Linked DNA regions of Drosophila melanogaster. The protein of the gene in region 3 purifies or fractionates together with the protein of the main gene of each other region. This does not show direct contact. Each region holds a gene or a part of one and is shown on either strand. Other genes may lie near its edges.

Region 1 (7,835 bases), on a different chromosome or scaffold from region 3:
TACAGAAACCGTATCACACGGAAAGAAATGAAAGCTTATAAATACCATATAGAAACGTATATGTACCATACCATATAGATCCACAACCATGTACCACGGAACTATCGTATCGTAAATAGCAATAGCTGTTAGTTATAGTCAATATGGATAGCTAAACTACCGAATAGCAAAGCCTCAACCGAAGCAAACTTGTTGTACGATTAAGATTGAGCTAGACTTTTAACCAGAGATAATCCAATTTGTAGATATATCGATATATCACATATAAAATGTATGATTGTGTATATTACCGGATAACAAAAGAACTCTTATGATTTCCAGGTCTCGCTTTTCAGTTGATCCTTATTATGAGAACCCCAACTAATATATATCAAATGCCCAAAAACCTTTAATGAATTCAGACCAGACCACAAAAACAACCAACAACCAACTACAACAAAAACAAACTGTGCCACCTAGTACATAACAAGAAATGGTTATATATCTGTATCTGCTATATAGACACTATAACACATACAATTCAACACGAACTTGTACTATACCTAGATATACTACATATATAGAGAGAGAAGGAAACATTCAATGCTCACTTTTATATTTTTTATCATACATCCTTGAATCGAGAAAGCTATTGAAAAGGACGCAGGACGAAGCACCGTAAGAACCACTGAACCACAAAACAATGCAAAACAAAAGAAATCGTACATAGGAAAATTCTCATACCCAAAGAACATATATTTATAGATAGTGTACAAGTTCTATATGCCTAGATATTTGTTCCATTGCTTTTTAGAGCCAATTTGCTTTGCTTGCGAGACAAAATCCCCTGGAAAAAAAAAACCAAAAAACGTACCTACATTCTATTCTGTTCTCCGATCCCATTCAAAATGACAATTAGGAAAGAAAACACCAGGCATAAACGCAAAAGATCGAGCTAAACTAGTGCTTAGTGTTTAATGATAAACAATTCCAATAAAAGTATTTCAGTTGTGTATATTGTAAAGAACAATTATAAATGAACAAATATAAAGTTAAACATTTAAAGAATAATTCAAAAATTTATTGAAACATTAATAAAATAATTGTATTTATCGAAATTAATACAAACCAATTTAAGGCATTAGCATAGCAAAAGATAACGGTATACATAAATTGAAATGAAAATGAACACAAAAAGCGCTGATTTAATATTATATTATTAATTATATTATTGCAAACAACAAAGTGAAAAACAAATGATATTGTCCTTGGTATTTACATATACATAAAGAAAACAGCAAAAAAAAAACAAAAGAAAAATAAAAAGAAAACGTTTTTTTATATAACCGACATAGATATTTTCGACCGCTGATCTGCGTGGCTTTGGATTGTTTGGGGCTATTACTTAAAGATACTTTTAGATTCTAGGAACTACATCAAACTCGAATTCGCTGGCTACACTTTCGTCTATTAATGGAGGATAAAAGATGTAACTTTCAATTCTAGCTAAAAGTACCATGATAGATTTATTTTCGAACTATTTTATTTTCTATTACATTTTACTACTAGTATTTATTTACTATTACGATTTTCTACTAGTATTTATTTACTATTGCAATTTACTGCTAGTATTTATTTACTATTACAATTTTCTACTAGTATTTATTTACTATTACAATTTTATACTATTATTTATTTACCATTACTATATAATTCAAATTATCGCGCCCAAATGGACTCTAATGCGATGAATAATCGACAAATCGATAGGCGCGAGCGAGTTCGAATTCGCAGAGAGAGATGGCAAGATATGCCGCTGTGTGTGTTTATAAGCGAGAACGAAACTTGCTTCGGCAACAATTTCAAACAAGACGTTAAAGGCGACCGTGCCTGCCAGCGACTGTCCAGGAGCACCGATTATCCTGCCAGGACTCCAGTCTCAACACACGGCTCAAAGCTAATTTAAATCAAGTCACTTGCCAGTTCTAAAAGTGCGCGCTTTTCTGCCGATTTTAAATAACTGAGTTAAAAAAAAAAACAAAATAAAATCAAAATATATCTTAAAAATGCCTTTCGCCCACGAGCAACTGAATCTGGTGGCCAGCGAGCAGCTGAGCAAAACGGAGACCATCAAGCTGCGCAACCAGCACATCGGGTAAGTGGCTTCCTTTCGTGGTCCTTACGCCGTTATCCTCGCTCGTATTCGTAATCCCTGGTCCGGGTCGTGAGCCTGCGACCTTGCCTTGAATTCGCTCTGGCTGTCAAGGTCAGGCGGCATCCCCCACTCGGCCCACTCATCGCCAGCCCTCTCTTTCGCTCGCATTGGACGGCTGGCCGCCCGATTTTCTTGTACTTTTGTATTTTTGGCACTGTTGCCAACAGCCGCCACCGCCACCCAAGGAAATAATATAACAAAAAAAGTGCACAAAAAAAAGCAGGAAAAAAGTCGTGCAACAGCGGCGCTTTTTTAGATTTGGGCCATATTGATTTTTTATCGCCTGACTGCATAAAAATATTTATAAAACCAATTTGGAAATTTTATAAAAATAAATTCAAAGGGCCTGCTAGGCAGAGTGTTCGCACTTGATAATCACGTTCAATATACATTTCACATTTGTTCTCGCTTACATATATATTGTAATCTAAATTGACTGAAAAATATCAATCCAAATTTTCCATTTTGTGGAATATTTTAAAAAAGAACAAAGGCTAGGTAGCTTGTGAAATGAATTACAAATTGCTAGCAATAAATCGAGAAATTCGAAAACAAAAGGGGCCTGTTTTTTATGACTCTGAACTTTTACAAAATACGTCAGTTCGGTTTTATCACTTTCATGTTTCCAAATTATTGGCGAACAATTATTGATTTACCATATTAAACTAAATATGGATCAGGCTAAATTCAAGTAGCTAATAATTATGATTTTCAAATGGTTAGGATGCAGTTCGGATCAAAGTGCATTTTTTGTCCCCATTAAATTGTTAGCAGCTGCGTTCCCGCTCTCTTTGTTTGCCTAAAGTCAACCCTAAAATGTTTATCAAACACAGCAAGACGCCTTGTTTTTGTCTAACAAACACAAACACAATAACCATTAAACACGGCAGTGGGAACAGTGATTATCTTGGTGATAATGAGTACTACTCACTACTCTGTCGTATATTTGTGAACTGTTGAAATAGGCCCCGGTTAATAGTATAACTATCGTCACATATACGTCTTTGCCTTTTACATTGTCTGGATTTTATGACTTCACTTAGCTTAGCTAGCAACTTTGCCATCCACCTAATTAACCTACTTAATAACTTGCATTTTTTTCTGCAGACAAGCCTGCCAGCTCTTCTATCGCTCTGATCCCCTGAAAATTGTGCGCGGTCAAGGTCAATATATGTTTGATGAGGAGGGCACCCGGTATCTGGACTGCATCAACAATGTAGCCCACGGTAAGTCAATCTATCAAAACTAAATTTGAAAAATATGTAAAAATTTGTAGGACTACAGAATGCGTAAGATCAATAGATCAAAAAACCAGCTCTTATATGTAATAGATCCTATTATTCATCTCGAAAATATTGTTAATTAGGTGAAAAGATGAAGAAAACGGTGGTGTAGGGCGCAGAAAATGATAATTTCGTCGCCATTTCTGCAATAAAAAATTGTTATAATAAAGTAGGGGTGCCATTAAGTACGTTGCTAGGTCATGTTTTGCGATTTTGGAACCGGGGCCTGATGACGATTATTTTGGACCTCCCGTCCGGACGTCGACACTTGGTCGTTGACGGATCCTATTTCTGTTTATGCTGATTAGCAGTGGCACACGCCCGTCAAATGGCCAATGTACGGATGCAAAGTGCATGTGGCACTGCGGCTATTTGGAGCGTTTGGCAACGCAAGTTCAAGGTTGAGTGCTCAACTAGATATATATAGATATAGAATGAGTGATTAACACAGCACTGCCATCAAGACAATCACAATAATAACAAATGGCCAGGGACCGCATTTGCGTAAAATATACAATACGTATTACGTACACATACATATATATGTATATATATATCACCGAGGGGGTCCCAGTCAAATCCAGACCATCCAAACCATATCAACTTATCAACAACGGTGGCCCAACGACAATAACAAAAAAACAACGAAGATTGACGTCGGCAACCAATTTGCCAATTTGCTGATTCTGGGATCTAGGTAGCTCACATTGTTTGCGTCTTGTTTGTAATTGTCCAAAACACTTCCTGCTACGGAAAATTTTCCATTTACAAGGTTTTGTTGGCAGCAATTTTCCTAGCCTAAAATCACTATTAATTATAACTTTATATGTGTAAAGTTATATTACATGCCCTTAAATAATACTTAAAACATATATAGTAATAAATAGTTATTTTCAGGGCTTTCTATTTCTGAAAAGCTGCCCTTCTATAAAATTAGTTTTTCCTTTTGTATTAACGCTTGCCGCACTGATAAGATGAGGCCATTGGCATTGCGAATGTACTGAATATAGATGAAATAGATTTGACAACCCAATGAGATTTGATAACGTCGACTGTAGCGCTTATTAATAGCTTTCCTTTTGGTTAATTGCCACCTAAGGGGGCTCATCAACAGGGTCGAAAACAATATTCCAATAAGGGTTATCATCGAAGGGTGCAAAAAGGTAAAGCTGTTTACAGTTCAGAGATAGTCAACTGATTGTGTTTGCACCATCAACTGATCAATAAATCAATCAATAGATGTTGTCCCTTTATATCAAAACACTTTCAAAAACTTGGTGATGGATATTGGGATTATTTATAGTGCTCCCCCATTTAATGACCCACTTAGACGGTTGCACATTTCGTAGACGATCGCAAAACTCAATCAACCTCGGAACAAGTCTTACGATCTTCATACGACTGATAGTTAGCCCTTTCACATTCAGAACGTAATATTGGGTCCGTGCAGAGGCACGTAACTTACGGCTATGCCCATAAGTCATCAATAACAAAGTGTGAAATCAGTCCTCAAGCAAACATGTAGCACTATAACCATGATAAGGTGGCGGGGGCACGTGTGGACGATCTGACGATCTGAATAACAAGTTGTTATGAAACTAGAAACCACGTTCCTCGTAATCTCGTGCTACTTTTTCCACTCCGGGTGTCCAACAGGCCGCAACATGTGAACGTCTCGTGCGAGTGGAAATGTACTCGAGATAGGCGGTCGGGCACAGTACGAAAAAAGGGGGCGGGGCTGCCCCGGGGTGAGCACACAAGGCGTACAGTCGTGCAGCCCATATGTCCGTACGTAGTCTAGTTTTTCAATATTTGTGCTCGTAGTGCCCCAACCCCACGAGATCTGAGCAATCAGCTGTGCCACTCAGCACACATTGCGAGTGGAAAATTCTGAGCAGATAGTCGGAAAAACACCCCGAGCCATGGGCCTGCGGGCTGTGAAAAGTCGTACAAACAGGCGATATAAAGAGAAGAGCAAGTGGAAGTGTAAGCATGTCATAGCGACCACTTGTAGATTGTCGACAATGTCGCGAAAAACTAAGAAAATTTGCTGATCGCGAAAGAGGAAAACAAGTGGGTGGGCTTGTTATGAATTATAGAAGATGAAGAGCATATTAATAATATTCATCACTTAAAGTATACGATCTAGAACGAGCCCTAACTGAAGTTTTTCAATATAGCTAGTGATGAAGTTATTTGAATACACATTGAGATATGCTTAGTAACGCTCTTTCAAAACAGTTTCTAAAAATGCTAGTTTTTCCCAGCATAACTGTACTTCTATTCCCTCGACATAATTAAAAACCAAAGTGCAGAGATTCCCCCATGGTCATTTCGATCATTCCAAACCTAATCAGCAAGCGTATGAAACAGAAACAGTCAGTCTATTATACACCATTTAATTTCATACCACTGATATGGAAACTAGAAACGTGAAGGCATCGCGTGAACTTCACGTGATACCTGCCTCGCAGAACACTACGTCTTATCGGGGGCGTGTGTGAGTCCAAGTCCAAATGATTCTAATGCGAGTACGAGACGAAATTAGAAACGCAATCGGAACGAGTAGTTGACCCCCAAACGTCGCAATCTGTCGCCGTCGACGGGAGCGGAGTGGTCCGGGTCCCGGGGCTTATCGCCCATCCGTCGGCGCCTACGGAATAGCGATACACTTACGGATGGCGACGCCGAGCCCAATGGATCCGGGCCTGTCTGAAAGCGTTTTATTTTCGGTATCGTGGCAGATTGCCCTGCTTATATGTGAAGCGCTGCACAAACGATCGGGCAAGCAAGTGGTTAGGGGAAAATCACGTGCGCGACTTGCCTAATTTTAGCCACACCCTCAGTACAAGCTTATCACTATTGGGTTGATCTATCTATAAATTTGATCTAATAATCTCGTTGGGTCAGTAGCGCTAATTGAAAGCTTTATTTTTGGGTTTATTTCTCCATCGTGAGTTAGCAATTTGATTAGTTAAAGAGGGTGCCTGGTATTCAGTTATACAATATGGTTATCTATTTTACTTTTATTAATACTTGCTAACAATTTAAATATATTTATTTAAAAACTATACAATAATTATAAATTTGACCTCAATCTTTGCAGTGGGTCATTGCCATCCGGAGGTGGTGCGAGCTGGAGCCCTGCAGATGGCCACCATCTCGACGAACAACCGCTTCCTCCACGACGAACTGGTCCAGTGTGCTCGCACGTTGACCAGCAAAATGCCGGAGCCTCTGTCCGTTTGCTTCTTCGTCAATTCCGGATCCGAGGCCAATGACCTGGCCCTTCGATTGGCCCGCAACTTTACTAAGCGTCAGGATGTTATCACTCTCGACCAGTAAGTTTCTTCTGTTTGATTCTAGAGATTAAATTTGCTTGAAAAAATGATTTTGGCTTGCTTAATATTTATTTTGAACACCTATGGAAAAATATGCTAATTTCTTTTATTTCGTTACAGTGCCTATCATGGTCATCTGCAGTCGGTGATGGAGGTGTCTCCATACAAATTTAACCAGCCCGGCGGCGAGGCCAAGCCCGACTACGTGCATGTGGCGCCGTGCCCGGACGTTTATGGCGGAAAGTTTACGGACAAGATGTATCCGGATGCTGACATGGGTGCCCTGTATGCTCAGCCCATCGAGGAGATCTGCCAGAAGCAGTTGGCCAAAGGACAGGGCGTCGCCGCCTTCATTGCCGAGAGTCTGCAGAGTTGCGGTGGACAGATTTTGCCACCAGCCGGATACTTCCAGGCAGTCTACGATGCGGTACGCTCTGCCGGAGGCGTTTGCATTGCTGACGAGGTTCAGGTGGGATTTGGACGCGTGGGCAGCCACTATTGGGCATTCGAGACCCAAAACGTAATCCCCGATATTGTGTGTGTGGCCAAGCCCATGGGCAATGGACATCCGGTGGGTGCGGTAGTTACCACTCCGGAAATCGCTCAGGCCTTCCATGCCACCGGAGTTGCTTACTTTAACACTTATGGCGGCAATCCGGTCTCCTGTGCGATCGCCAATGCAGTGATGCGCGTTATCGAGGAGGAGGGTCTGCAACAGAAGGCTCTTGTTTTGGGCGATTATCTTTTGGAGGAGTGCAATCGTCTGAAGCAAGAATTCGAGTGCATTGGCGATGTGCGAGGCGCTGGACTCTTCGTGGGCATAGAGCTGGTCCAGGATCGGAAGGAGCGTATTCCCGACAAGAAGGCTGCCCACTGGGTGGTCAACCGGATGAAGCAGCTCCACCGGGTGCTCGTTTCCTCCGACGGTCCCAACGATAACGTGATCAAGCTAAAGCCACCCATGTGCTTCAACCGGGAGAATGCAGATGAATTCCTGCTGGGATTCCGGGAGTGCTT
Region 2 (6,260 bases), on a different chromosome or scaffold from region 3:
ATTAACTTTATTTACTTTAATTTGGCGTAAATAATTTTAATTTAGTTATTAAAACAACACATAATTATCATCGGAGATTTATGCAAACTCCAAACAACCTGTTGCTACCCTGCAACAAAGTCATGCTTTGACCAGTGTTGAAAAACGCAGCTCCACAGCTGTTTTGCCAAGTTCTTAATTATATTTTTGTTTGCTTATTTTGCGCTTTTGTTTTTCTTTTGCTTGCAATTATTATGTTTATTTGGCATTACTTGACCCTCTTGTGCCTTGGGTTCGCCCTCATCGATGCGAAATCCATCAAGAAGTCGCAGGCCAATCTGTTGGAGCCAACTCTTGATCCTGATGAGAAGCTAGGGAAGATTGGGAAGTCCCCACCCGACATTTCCAATGATGTGCAACGTGTGCAGGTTCCATTAGGTGCGACGCCCGGCAAGAATGGCTGGCAGGGCAAGTGGTTTCCCCATGCCCCTGGACAACAGCAGGAAGCGATTGAATTAAAAATGAAGAGCACCACGGAGGAAGTTCCTCCGCTGGAGTTCACAACCAAGGATGGCTGGCAGGGCAAGTGGTTTCCACAAGCTCCCGGAGAGCCGCACTTGGTGAAGAAAAAACCGCTGGTCGATAACAAAACCAAGTCGGGGAAGTCCACCACACAGGATACTTGGCAGGGTAAATTGTTTCCGCAGGGTCCCAATGAATCGCACAAGACTAAACAAAGCAGCTGTGATGATGGCAAGGTGAGTTTGGCAATATAACTAATACTTCCCCTAAATACCGATGAATGCTTAGTATTAGTCATCTTTTTCTATCATTGTTATTAACAATTTTCAGAGCAATCTTGCCGTGGACTTCGATCCAAACGACATCCGTGACAGCCTGAATTTCCTATGCATCAGTAGTAATCACAGCTTGTACCAACCGGATTTGTCCAGAGAAGCCATTCTTACGGAGCACTTTCTACCTAGCGCCTATCTGCCGCCTGCCAAGTGCCTTAATGAGTCCATTAGCTACTCCCATCTGCCTGCCACCAAGTAAGGCGAACAATATTATAGTTTCCTGCTAATTTCAAATTCAAATCTGTATTATCAGTGGCCCCTATCGCCCGATGCCCGCTGAATATGGCACCTATTCCTACTTGCCTCCTCAGCGATACGTGCGTAATCTGGCGGAAGGTGCCATCGTAATGCTCTACCATCCCTGCGCTTTTCCCGGCCAAGTGAAGCAGCTGCAAGACATCGTGGGTGGCTGTCTGTATCGCCATCTGGTGTCACCCTCGCTGGCTCTGAGTCCGCAGCGACCGCTGGCCCTGCTCGCCTGGAGTCGCAGCCTCGAGATGTCCGTCGTGGATCGACAACTGGCGGCGGACTTCATCCAGAAACACGCCAAGCAAGGACCACTTGCACCGGAGGAATTGTCGCGTTTGATTGTCAAGAGACAGACCTACAAGGAGGGCCTTCTTAGGGAAGCGCACTTGGTCAACACGGCGGACGACTACGAGCTGTGCGGCTACCTACAGGAGGATATGTAGGCCAAATGTGTTAACTATTTGTTTTTAATAAACCTCGAATACTTTGCCAATTTCTTTTTGACTCATTAAATTATCCAGCTACCAGATTTAAAAGACTTGCAGCTGAGGAGTTGTAAATCACACTTTATTTACTTTGCTCATTAAAAAATAAACACATAATTAATGGTAAGAAATTATAAAAATTAATTTTTAGACGATTTCAGTTAAAAAGTCGTTACTTTGGCCTTTCTTCAGTGGGAACTTACCACACTTGCAGAATAGCACTAACGCCTTCTGCTTTTGGTATTTTCGCGTGTCTCGCTTACTGTCCTCGGTTCGGTTTAGTTCTCTTTTCTCCGGATAAAATCAAATTCAATAAGCGATCGCCAAACGATCCCCCACTTGGTCGCCACACAAACAACGTCGCCCGAAAGCCGACGGCTGCATCATCATCCCCTCTCCGGAAACTCCCATCAAGCCCCGGATCCAAAGTGTAGCCCCCCATTCGCAAAAGAAGAAGAAGAACAAAAACAATAGTGGAGAGGTGAAACAAAGGAGACTCGCACTAAAAACAATTAATTTAGCAATTTGTGGTCTCCACAACGTCGATAAATCACGTGATTGTGCAGTTCGTATAGACCCAGGCCACACCACTAGCCATTTGCAGCGCATCCTGCTTGGATTTCAGACTTTACATAACATCCAAGGCGCCCATTCAAAGGAGCAGCGGAAAAGGATTGCAAGCTCTGGAGTCGCAGAAGGTGGAACACTAGGAGCTAGAGCAAGGAGCCAATTTAAGGGATAGTAAGGAAATCCCCAGATTACCCTCTACTTCCACCATGAACAACCTGGCAGACACTGTGGTAGTTGATCCTGGATTCGGAGGCGGCGACAAGCAGCAGCAGGCTGGACCGGCGCCGCAGGATGCCAGCGTGGTGGTTCCTCCGCCGGCCACCAAGCAGTCCTCGGCTCTGAAGAAGACAAGTCGGTACAGGAGCCGCTCGCTTAGTGCCTCCTCAACGGATTCCTTCAGCTCCGCCAGCTACACGGGCAGCAGCGAGGATGGCGACGACGTGCCGCCCAGGGAGAAGGTCCAAAAGAACTCCAAAGGCAGCTCCGATTTCTGTGTAAGGAACATAGGCGCCCAGCATGCATTTGGGCGCAGGGAGATCGAGATTGCGGAGCAGGAGATGCCGGGCATCATAGCGCTGAAGAAGCGGGCGGCCGAGGACAAGCCTCTGAAGGATGCCAAGATCGTGGGTTGCACACACATCAACGCCCAGACTGCCGTGCTCATCGAGACGCTGGTGGAACTGGGCGCCAGCGTGCGCTGGGCCGCCTGCAACATCTACTCCACGCAGGTGAGATGTCGTATGAAAATGTCATAGGGTTCTTACGTATTCATAGGCTGCTTAATGCATTTAATGGAATCTCTTAAGAGATATCTTAACTCATTTTCCTATATTTATTTAAATTCATATGCATATGCGTGCTCGGTCACTTGATCTGCTCGGTCGCTTGGAGACAATTGTTGTCACGCCAGGCGACGCAAACAAATGATCAATCAAGCCATGTTAATCAATTAAGCGCCCGCGGCTCAAGTGTTTGGCAATCGCTGAGTAATTGATGTGCCCTGAATTGGGTCGCCATACCATTGGGAGTGGAAGTTACGGACGCAGTTTTAGTTCCAGCATTGGATCGGCTGCGGTTACTCGATCTGTTTGCCTATTCCTGCGGCGTGGCTGATGCAATTATCACGAGTCTGCTGACGCTAAACAATTTATGGCTTCTCTAATGAAGCGATGCGAGTGCGAGGGCGAGCGCCCTTCCCCGATCATTTATGCACCCATCCGTGCCAGCTTTTATCGCCCACGGCCCCCGACAGCCTGTCACGCTGATTCACCTGTATCGGCTGGGACTTATCAGCCAAGCTACGAGTGCCGTGCTTAGCGAGAATGGAGCCCGATGCGTTATCAGCTCGATATAAGTCAGATATTAGCAAATGTTTACGCCGCATTAGGGTGACTCGATTTATCAGGCCAACTCTCGAGGGTTTTACCTGTTTGACAATCATTTTATTAGCCTTCAAGGACTGTCATTATTAAAACAACTCAATATCGTTGCTTATTATTTTTAGAACGAAGTGGCTGCTGCTTTGGCCGAATCCGGAATCCCGATCTTTGCCTGGCGCGGCGAGACGGAAGAGGACTTCTGGTGGTGCATAGATCGCTGCGTTAACGCCGAGAACTGGCAGCCAAACATGATCCTGGACGATGGCGGCGATGCCACGCACTTGATGCTAAAAAAGTACCCGACCATGTTCAAGTTGGTCAAGGGAATCGTCGAGGAGAGCGTCACCGGAGTGCACCGTCTCTATCAGCTCTCTAAGGCCGGCAAGCTGACAGTGCCGGCGATGAATGTCAACGATTCGGTGACAAAGACCAAATTTGACAACCTCTACAGCTGCAAGGAATCCATCCTGGACAGCCTCAAGCGCTCCACGGACGTGATGTTCGGTGGCAAGCAGGTCGTGGTCTGTGGCTACGGCGATGTGGGCAAGGGATGTGCTCAGGCTCTAAAGGGGCAGGTAAATGGCACCCACAACCATTAGTATGATATACCTTTGTCACCTTTTCAATCTCCAATCGTAGGGCTGCATTGTGTACATCACAGAGATCGATCCCATTTGCGCCCTGCAGGCCAGTATGGATGGCTTCCGTGTGGTCAAGCTGAACGAGGTGATCCGCAACGTAGACATTGTGGTGACGGCGACCGGCAACAAGAACGTGGTGGTGCGCGAGCACATGGACAAGATGAAGAGTGGCTGCATCGTATGCAACATGGGCCACTCGAACACGGAAATCGATGTGAATGGCCTGCGCACACCGGACTTGACCTGGGAGAAGGTGCGCTCCCAGGTGGATCACATTATCTGGCCGGAGGGCAAGTACATCATTCTTCTGGCCGAGGGCAGGCTGGTCAATCTGAGCTGCTCCAGCATCCCCTCGTTCGCCGTGTCTATCACCTCGGCCACCCAGGCCCTGGCCCTGATCGAGCTTTTCAATGCCCCGCCCGGACGCTACAAGTCGGATGTCTACTTGCTGCCCAAGAAGATGGACGAGTATGTTGCCAGCCTGCACCTGCCCACCTTCGATGCCCATTTGACGGAGCTGAGCGACGAGCAGGCCAAGTACATGGGACTGAACAAGGCCGGTCCTTTCAAGCCCAACTACTACCGCTACTAGGACGCAAGGCGGGCGGATGCGGACAATAACACCAGCAATTAGAAGAAACAACAACGCCAACGAAAGTATTGTCTTTGCGAAGAAGTAAAACTATTTAAAACAATTGTTGACACACACACACACGGAAAACACAAAAGGATACGGAAAGGAGAACACAAAGTTACTATTACCATTGTATTGCTTAGTTTAGCTCGAGCGGAATTCTTGGTTGCTTTTCGTTAGCATTTAAAGTCTTCGACATAGTATTTAGCACTCGCTTTAGCCGCAGGAGTATTCTCTCCGTTCACCTATCCAACATGACTCTCTAATCCCCAAAACTAATCTTGCCCCAAGAATTTATCCCCATCAACATTTTTTGTAGCCAGTTACTTGAATTTATTTTAAATACTTCGAACGCCTGTCAATCAGACTGCAGTAGCTCAAAAGACGCGATTAGTTCTCTAAATGTATACTTCTAATTCGGAATTGATAATATATTTAATGGGAATTGACTTGTATAATGGTTTCTAGCATATTTGCATTACATTTCTATAACTTTTTCGCGTGAAATCCATGTACATTTTAATGTTAACGACTTTCCTGACTAATCCCTTTTTTGAGCTACGACAGCTGGGCAATAAGTGATCGATTTAACCTCTCGTATTGTTTACGTACTTAATTTGTTAATGTTTATGGCCCCCGCTTATGATTATGATTATACTTTTGTACTTTCGTTTCGTCCCGAGAGCGTTAATGGAACAGCAGTGCAAGGTATTCCATTTATTCAATTATATACACGCTGGCATATATATCAGATCGAGAATTATATATATATATACACTGCATATACACCTAATATGTATATTAGAAAAAGTGAAAAATGTTTGTAAGAAATTTGTGAGAAACGCAAAACAATAAAAAAGGGATTCTTTATTGAGCAATTAGATCTGTTCCACTGATTGATTTCTCCCCCAGCAGCCCCGTCGAAATGAAAACCAGGAAAAGTTGCTTTCGTATTTTTCAGATGCATCACTCGTCTATTTCTCTTTTTATTACTCGGTACTTGCCTTAAACTTGTTATGTTTTTCTTTGATATTTTATAAAATGTAAACTACACGAGTTTGTCATAAAAAAAATCATACACATTATGTATTATAATCGATTTTTTTTTTGTAATTTTCCGTTCATCTGAACTATTCCTAAAATGCCGTAAAGTGCATAATGTGCAAACCCGTCCTAATTAGGGTAATGCTAAACACATGCGTCAACTAAATCTTAATCAAAGGTTGTGGAACAAACAAATCCAGGCGGAGCCGAAAGTTACAGGGGATTGGTAAACCAGGCTGGCGGAGAGGCATACACATATATTTGCATCTGGAGAGGATCGGAGGGCGGATCTGATCTAATCGAGAAAGTGCGGCTTGAGATGCTTCAGCATGCCAAAGGTGCGGAAGCGGCGGATCTTCATCACCTTCATCAGCTCGTCGTCGCAAATGGCGAACTGCTTGTTCTTGGGGTCGTACAAATCG
Region 3 (8,008 bases):
TGGCTGCTGCTTTTCGCCTCTGTCGACGTCGCAGCATCTCTTTTTTCCCGAGCTTTTCCGAGAGCTTTTCCTCGCACCACGGCAAACTGTTGATTGGTCTCCTGGATGTGCGAATGTGTGTGCGTGTCTTTTGGCCAGAAAGAGAGCACAAAAGAGAGTCCATCGTCGACGGCATCGCCGTGCTTTACTTAGTTAATTAGTACCCATTCAGATGGCAGTAAACAGTAGTTAGTTCCTGTTAATGGGCCTTAAAATAAGTCATTCAAAATGGCATTAATAAGTGCACGGAAATGAAGGTGGTAAGTAATTTTAATTTGAATACATACTTATATCTAAAATTTGTCACTAGAAAAAGAAACAAAAATAATTGTTTAAAATAACTTTAACCTTTTGCCCAACATTATATTGTTGAAAAAGGGGGCTAAAAAAGTAATGTTCAAAGTGGTAATAACAGATACCATCCACACCCTCGAAGTCAACCATAATCTCTCGAAATTTGTTTTCCATTCCGTTTATTTGAACCCAGCACAAAGCCATTAAAGCTGATGTTTACCAAAGCAACAGTTACCAATGGCACACAAGTACACAAATTCTGTGGCTGAAAGAAAAGCTCATCGTGGCACTTGCTGCTATTTGGAGACCGCAAATAGACGGCACACTCGCAGAATTAACGCGCTTTTAATAGATTAGAGCCAAGCGACGGCTCTTCAGGGGCACTTCGAATGGTGCAACCGATGATGCCGCTCAAGGACCTGTGCACCCGATCTGCAGATAATGCTAACAACCTGACCGACACCCGCAACCCGTTCCCACCTTGTTATTAGTATCCCCAAGTGGAGCGAGGACACACGTTTGGCAAATTTGCCCAGCCAGAAGGACGACTAATTGATACGCAAGCCCAAGCTGGCACGTAGGAAAATAACAAAAAAAAAACGCAGTTTACACAGCATTATGTTATAATTGTAATTACATACAAGTGCGATAAACTACTAAAGAATTCATTTGCAATAGAATATTCCCTCAATGTTCGAAACAGATAATATTTTTCCCACTGTGTGCGGCTGAAGTAATTTTTCTTCTTTGATACTGCAAAAACAATTACCTGAATACCTGAATGTTTTCGTATGCTGCGCGGCCGCATTAAGCTCACATTAAAATTATCAGGAATAAAGAGCGGCAGGTAAACGAGGCGAGGAAATCAAATTGAATCGTTTACATCATTTAAAGCTACGCCAAGTTCACGGACACGACGGCAACTTTGCGTCCTTGCGGCCATTTTGTTCAATCCTGTGTACCCATACATACACATGGTTGCTTGTTGGGAAAAGCTAAGGGGCCATGTCAACAGACGGTTAACGCTTTACTTCCTCGAAAGGCGTTCGTTGACTTCGCAGCGTAAAATAAGCAAGCTTATGCTGCTTTGTTCTGTTATTTTTCGCGCTTTTCGCAGGGCTAATTAAGGCGTTCGTCCTTCGAAACGGTAATCCTATATATCCTCGATTCAGCGACCCTGTCTTGCAGCATCGCATTACCGACGGATGCACGCGCTTCTGATTATGCCGCATTATTGCTAACGGCGTCATTTAGTCTTAATAGGTATTTTGAAATGTGATTAACGCTCCCGTCCGTGATAAGCGCTTTAACGTGTGCTTATTACAAATTAAATAGTGGTATACTATTTTGGTTTTAGTGCAGAAGGAAGTTCTTAAATTAAATACATTTGAATTTGGCGCTCAAAAAGCAGACTGGTACAAAATTACAGCATCTAACGGTCGCACTTTAGCGAATACATGCACCTATCGTAGCAGGTACCCACTACCTTCCAAGCTAGTTCGCTCTCTCAACCCAAATTGCCATCACTACTAGACAAAATCAATCGATATATGCAGGGGATAGTATAGGAGGTATCGAACAATCATCAACTGAAGTGCCAGCTCTAGCGTTTTGCTTTGGTTGAAAATACAATTAAAAATTGATTCTGAAGTATTTAAATATTCTGCATCGCCAGGTGAGTGCGTGTTGCCAGCATTGGCATATTTTTCGGCCGGAAAAAGGATTCACAGTCCATTCAACCATCGAATTGATGTCCAAAAGTCGGTTTAAAAAGGCGCGTCATGTGCTGGAATCGAAGAAAATGCGTTACAATGCAGCAGTTGCAGTTGTGCACTTTATTTTTTGTGTTTCAATAATTACCAGTAACTAATTAATTTTCTACCTCCCCCACCCACTCTCCACCCATCTCCCTTTTTAGCCATAAAAATCTGCGAAAACCAAACGGTGGCGGCATCGAAAATACCGAAAGAAGCACAAAAAGAAAAATTTGCAAGGCTGCGTCTGTGTTAGTGAGCGTGTGCGAGCGCGCGTGTGTTGCTCTGTGTGCGTGTGTGTGTTGGCGAGTGCGAGTCTTTTGCCTTCAGTGCGTGCGCTGTTTCTCGTGTGGAGCCCAAAGGAAGAAAAACACACAAAAATACAAGGAATCCGCTAAGGAAAAAAGCGTAACCAAAAAGAACATCCAAAACAAACAAGTGCCGCTGCAATGGAGAAGAGAATAGAACTGGAAAGACGCGCACGCAAAGTAAATCAGGTAAGCTAAATACAAACGATGAAAAAAAACACGCGCCACAAACTTAAATTGAGGTCCAAATTAAGTGACGCTTTCGTGTGTGTGTGCATTATCATGTAAATCTAGTTTCAATTTGTTCATAGACGACATACAAAAAGTGCTACGGAAGAAGCAGCAAAGCGGCATCAACAAGAAAAACGAAAAAAAGAAAAGAAATTGATCGCCATAAGCAAATTCTACACACATGCCTCTGTGTGCGTGCGTGTTTGTATGCATGTGACGCCAGTGTTGCCATGTGCGCGCATTTTTGCGCCTTGCCTGCTGTTTGCTCCTTTAGAATGCAGGTTTTGAATTCGTTTACAAGCTATTACGTATTTAATTGCAAGTCCCTGAGTGATTTTACTGCATGGCTGATGGAAAGCGATCTTTTCGGGCCAGACGAGCTAGAGCACTTGGAATTGTATTATCTCCACAGCTGGCAATGCTCCTCGCTTGTTGTTCTTGCTGCTGCTGTTCTCGTCGTAGTTGTTGTTGTGGTTATTGCCGGCCTTCAATTGTGACAAACACGGGCAACATGTGTTTGTGTGTACGTGTGTTTGACTGCATGTTGTAATTTCAGGTTATTTGATACCAAATTGTATCTATAACAATATTATAGCGCGCGCATCATCCGCACAAACACACGCGTACCACGCACAAAAGATACACATGCATACGTAAGACGACTTATGCACAAAATAATCGACACATAGCATACATATCAGTACATCCATCCATACATATGTACATACATATATTGACTGCGCAGTCATAATACTTTTATGCTCCCCTTCTTCTTTTCTTCTTCTAACGTGTTTACCTGCACGCCATCGCCTCTAGCCATCCCGCTCCCGCCCACTCGAAGTGGCAAAGAAATGCAGGCGAAAAGACAAAGCCGCTGATTAATAAACATGCGCTCTGGCTGGCCGGCCAGCCTACTCAATCTCAATCAGCGGTCACCCAACCGCCCAGCCACCCACTGCCCGCCCAAAATGCACCCCACAACAGCGAAGTCAGCAGAAGACAAAAAATAGCAACGTATACACACTCATTCGCGCCTAAGTCAAAGCCAAACGCTGTGTGCATTCATTTCCACTCATTTGCTCAAATACAGTAGACACTCTCTACTGTTAGCTATATTTTAGATCATTTGCATTCCCCACTTTGGTGCTTACTAGATCGATCAATAGATCGAGCACAACCGAATTCTTAGCCGTGAATTTCATACGAACATTTTTTTCATTTCCAATTTTTATAAATTATACCTTTGGGGAAGTGCCACTTTGTTTCCTTTCCAAGAGTTAAATTTTTTGTTTAAACTACACCATATCCATAAAAAGATTCTTAACATAGTTAAATTGATTCCATTACCAAAAACATGATTTTGAAGTTCATCAAACAATAAGTTATTTATATTACAAAGTATATCAAACCGAATACAGATTAGGTTTTGCAGTCAGTTTTTATTTACAATTTTATATTTTCATATTCAATTTTGTTGATAATTATTAAAAATTGTGTTGAGCTACAGTTAATTTTCTTTTAGGATATACCAAGATTCTTGCCACTTAGAAATAAAATAAATTTGAACCATAATTCAGGTTAGAAAGTGTCCGCTGTAAGCACATAACTGTTTCTCGGCTAGACAGAGACGGACAGACGGACTCTGAAGGCACCCATTTTGTTTCTTTGTTGTTGGTTTTGTTGTGGCGTCGTGACATATTGATAATTGGGTAATCTGAAGTGAACTTGCACAGCCTCCAAAAGGCGTACGTTGTGTACATTTATTCATTTGTAGATTATCAGACCACAAAACACCACCCACTCTCACCCCCACCCACTATTCGCAGACAGGCGCAACAACTAAACTACGTCACGGTCAACCATGTTGTTGTTGTTTTGTTGCTGCGAGTGCCGGCTAGTCTTGTTGTTCCCCTGCCATCTCCCTTCCACTTCTTGATAATTCCGTTTTGCTCGTCATTCTTCTCTTTGCGCATTCTGCTTTGTGTCGAAGCACACGCACACATACACACGCTTGTGGCACACACACATATATTGGGGTTACATAAACGCGAGTTGGCACTTTTTCCTCGTCGCCTGCATTACAAAAATATGCAATTTGGCGATGGAGCAGCAGCAATGTTTACCAAGTCATTTGCATTAACGCCAAATTGGTTATTTTGCATGTAATTTCGTTTTGCATTTCAACAAAAAAAAATTTCTCAGCGTTTGATCGATTTTTGCGTATGTATTGTTCTCCATTTTTTTTTTCTGTTCGCTTTGCGTCAAAAAATGTTACAAATGTGACCAGACTGCGAGGCTTGAATATTCCACAATGAATACATCAAATATACCAAAATAATCGGTATCGTTTGTTCTTGTCTTCAATAACTAATATCGATAAGTAATAATTGGTTTAAAAATTATTCAAAACTCGTTTCATATAAATAAAATGAACTACTTCTAATTTATGTATTTACTCTCAACCCTATTATAACCTAGATCACAGAGCTGAATCTGGACAACTGCCGTAGTACAAGCATCGTTGGCCTTACAGATGAATACACAGCCTTGGAATCGCTTAGCTTGATCAACGTGGGTCTCACCACACTGAAAGGTTTCCCCAAGCTGCCCAATTTAAAGAAGCTCGAACTGTCCGACAATCGGATTTCGAGTGGCCTCAACTATCTGACCACTAGCCCCAAACTGCAATATCTCAACTTGTCTGGCAACAAGATAAAGGATCTGGAAACCCTGAAGCCCCTGGAGGAGTTTAAAAATCTGGTTGTTCTGGATTTGTTTAATAACGACGCTACTCAAGTGGATAATTACCGCGAGAAGATCTTCAAGATGTTGCCATCGTTAAATTTCCTAGATGGGTGAGTTTGAGTAACTTCTTTCTATTGTAGAACAATAAAAGTAACTTCTTGACCACTTCCAGATTTGATTGCAACGACGAGGAGGTGCAATCTGATGGCGATGATGATGATGAGGTCAACGGCAACGATTCCGACGAAGTGGGAGGTGTGTATTCGACGTATTTATAGAGACCAAAGATTAAATCGCAGAATTCAGGAGTTTTTTTTTTATAAAAGATTTCCATGTAACCACCATTAAAATTCCATTGTCCGTCTGTTTAACTTAATCGCTTATTGTGAATCGCGCTTTCTTCGTATTAACAATAATATCATATACTCAACCGTGGCTTTTGTCGCCTTTCAGATAAGTGCAATGCATTCTGTTTAAATGGTTTAGAGATCGATTTAGACGAGCTCGAGGCTTTCGAGAAGCGGGTTAAGGCGAAAAAAAGTTTGCAGGACAAACCACCTCCCCAATCGGAGGACAAAGAAGTAGACGAATTAGATGAATACTTGAAAGAGTTGCAGCTAAGGGAATCTACTGATGCTTCAACCGATGAACAATCTGTGATAAATGCCACACCGCAGCCTCCTAGCAATTCTAACTTAAGTTTTGTAATCCTGCTGTATTGGTTCCTTGCCATTTTAAATTTGGGCAGTGCTACATATTGTAAGCATAACGTTTCTGAACTTTTCTTCAGTATTAGTCGAACTTCTCTAACTCGAAAATGCTGCAGAAAAAGTAAAGATTCTCTTACCCACAAGAAGCGTTATAGTAGTTCGTAGGTTTGTTGATCTCAATTCCGTTGAACACATTAAAAAATCGATTTAGGGAAGTTCGAGATGTACAAACAAGCAAGTTGGTTTAATCAAATTTACCTTTGATTTTTCAGTTTCCGACGAAGATGACGACAGCGATGATAGCGACGAAGAGGCGAATGGTGAAGTGTCCCTGTCGGAGGTGTACAATGACGATTTGGAAGAGGATAACTCTGATTGGGAAGGCGAAGACGAGGCTGGCGAGGAGGACGAGGAAGAGGATTCCGATATTGATGATGCCGATGGTGATGCAAACGAATCGGCTGCATCAGTGAATGCCAAGGACAAGGATGGCGAAAAGGAAGCAGGTAAGTTCAATTATTTATATCCCAGACAGCATTAGTTCTTAATGCCATATATTTTCCTTTTTTTCTTTCCAGACGAGTCGCAAGTCAGAGGCAAGAAGAGAAAGCATGATGGTTAAAACCCTGATCTGTCGGTATAGCGTCTTTGTACGTTATAAATTTAAATATACACCCACACACAAAACAAAAACACACACACACATCATATTTTGATAGAAAAAGATGATAAATCCTTTAGGAAACCCACAATTTGTTTCTCTAAAATGTAAGCTAATGAAAGAAGAAATCGACAAAAAGAAAAAACAACAAACAACCCAAACAAAGAGGAGCATAATGAACGTAATAATCAAACAAAGCTAAACAAGAAAAAAATACATGTTTAAGCGAGAAAAATCGAGGAGGAATGCAAAGGAAACCAAGCAAACAACCAATTAAGCAAGTCGCATTAGTATAGCCTCATCCGAGCCCAAGTTCCAGTTTCATTTTAAACACCTTCGCCATCTTCAGGATTCGCAACATGAAATCCAAATCACTATGTTAAAGATTACACAATTACAACGTGTACAATTTTTAGCCATCCAGCAGCATCTTGTTTTCAAATTTCAATCAGTCACGAAAATCAAACAATAGCTTTCCGGCGTTATTTGAACAACTGCGGATTTGTCAACGTTTCGCGTGAAAACGATCACACAATTTACTGCTAAGAACTTTTAACTAACTCTTAAGTCATTCCTTCTTTAAATACGCATAAGTTAAGCATCCTACTTCGCCCACTTTCTGCTCAAGGCGATTTAAACACACTTACATTGTTACCCATCACCCACCTCCCAGATACACAAACTTTATCTCCGCGTCATTCTGTAAACGTAGAGCACTCACTTTTGAGCAACCCGAATTGTTTACCTTTATATACTTTTAAGTGTACTTTTACCACATACCGAAATGTTTCCACTTATTCATTGGCAGTAGTGTTTTCATTAAATGTGGCGAGTAAATCTTATACACAAAACAATTTTAGACAAGACTTTTCATTTAATACACAAGTAATTAACCGATTATTATTAAAGCAGGCCCCGCGTTAATTTAACGAGATGAGATGTGTCTTTACCAGCCCATTGAAACTGAAATACATAAACTACATCATTTTAAAATTGTCTTTTACGGGGGAAAATGGGAAAATGATTTCTATTAAAGAGAAGAGCTTACGCATATGAGCGTATTTTTTTTTATTTAAATCTCGATATCAATAAAGCAACAAATTGTATCGTTATCGGAAATGAGCATGGAAGTTTAGTATTTTCCACAAGAATTTGTAGTATTTGTGTTCTGATATGAAAACTAGAGATATCGATGTTATCGTTAAAGGATTTCCAGCTTTAGCATGGACGGTCACACTGGATCTCAAAATCTGGCGCAAAGCAACA

The links.
Region 1: the proteins of Mapmodulin (region 3) and CG8745 purify together in Drosophila melanogaster (affinity purification with mass spectrometry, with the first as the bait; one large-scale study listed by BioGRID). This does not show direct contact.
Region 2: the proteins of Mapmodulin (region 3) and AhcyL1 purify together in Drosophila melanogaster (affinity purification with mass spectrometry, with the first as the bait; one large-scale study listed by BioGRID). This does not show direct contact.

Annotation. Positions count from the first base shown.
Region 1 is NT_037436.4:13,860,902-13,868,736, reverse strand, and holds the start of CG8745 (uncharacterized protein), read left to right. Parts: upstream 1-1,831; 5' UTR 1,832-2,045; coding exon 2,046-2,134; intron 2,135-3,301; coding exon 3,302-3,420; intron 3,421-6,583; coding exon 6,584-6,818; intron 6,819-6,938; coding exon 6,939-7,835.
Region 2 is NT_037436.4:2,767,876-2,774,135, reverse strand, and holds AhcyL1 (adenosylhomocysteinase like 1), read left to right. Parts: upstream 1-1,810; 5' UTR 1,811-2,346; coding exon 2,347-2,868; intron 2,869-3,644; coding exon 3,645-4,094; intron 4,095-4,158; coding exon 4,159-4,752; 3' UTR 4,753-5,670; downstream 5,671-6,260. Other genes in the region: CG12093 (uncharacterized protein), read left to right, coding at 234-737, 832-1,031, 1,090-1,528; Non2 (putative nucleolar protein 2), read right to left, coding at 6,134-6,260. UniProt on the Drosophila melanogaster protein: Might play a role in the regulation of methionine metabolism possibly by binding and inactivating Ahcy.
Region 3 is NT_033778.4:17,865,905-17,873,912, reverse strand, and holds Mapmodulin (mapmodulin), read left to right. Parts: upstream 1-1,897; 5' UTR 1,898-2,008; intron 2,009-2,251; 5' UTR 2,252-2,536; coding exon 2,537-2,584; intron 2,585-4,055; exon of another isoform or gene 4,056-4,886; intron 4,887-5,104; coding exon 5,105-5,481; intron 5,482-5,543; coding exon 5,544-5,626; intron 5,627-5,824; coding exon 5,825-6,130; intron 6,131-6,353; coding exon 6,354-6,587; intron 6,588-6,659; coding exon 6,660-6,703; 3' UTR 6,704-7,594; downstream 7,595-8,008. UniProt on the Drosophila melanogaster protein: Implicated in a number of cellular processes, including proliferation, differentiation, caspase-dependent and caspase-independent apoptosis, suppression of transformation (tumor suppressor), inhibition of protein phosphatase 2A, regulation of mRNA trafficking and stability, and inhibition of acetyltransferases as part of the INHAT (inhibitor of histone acetyltransferases) complex.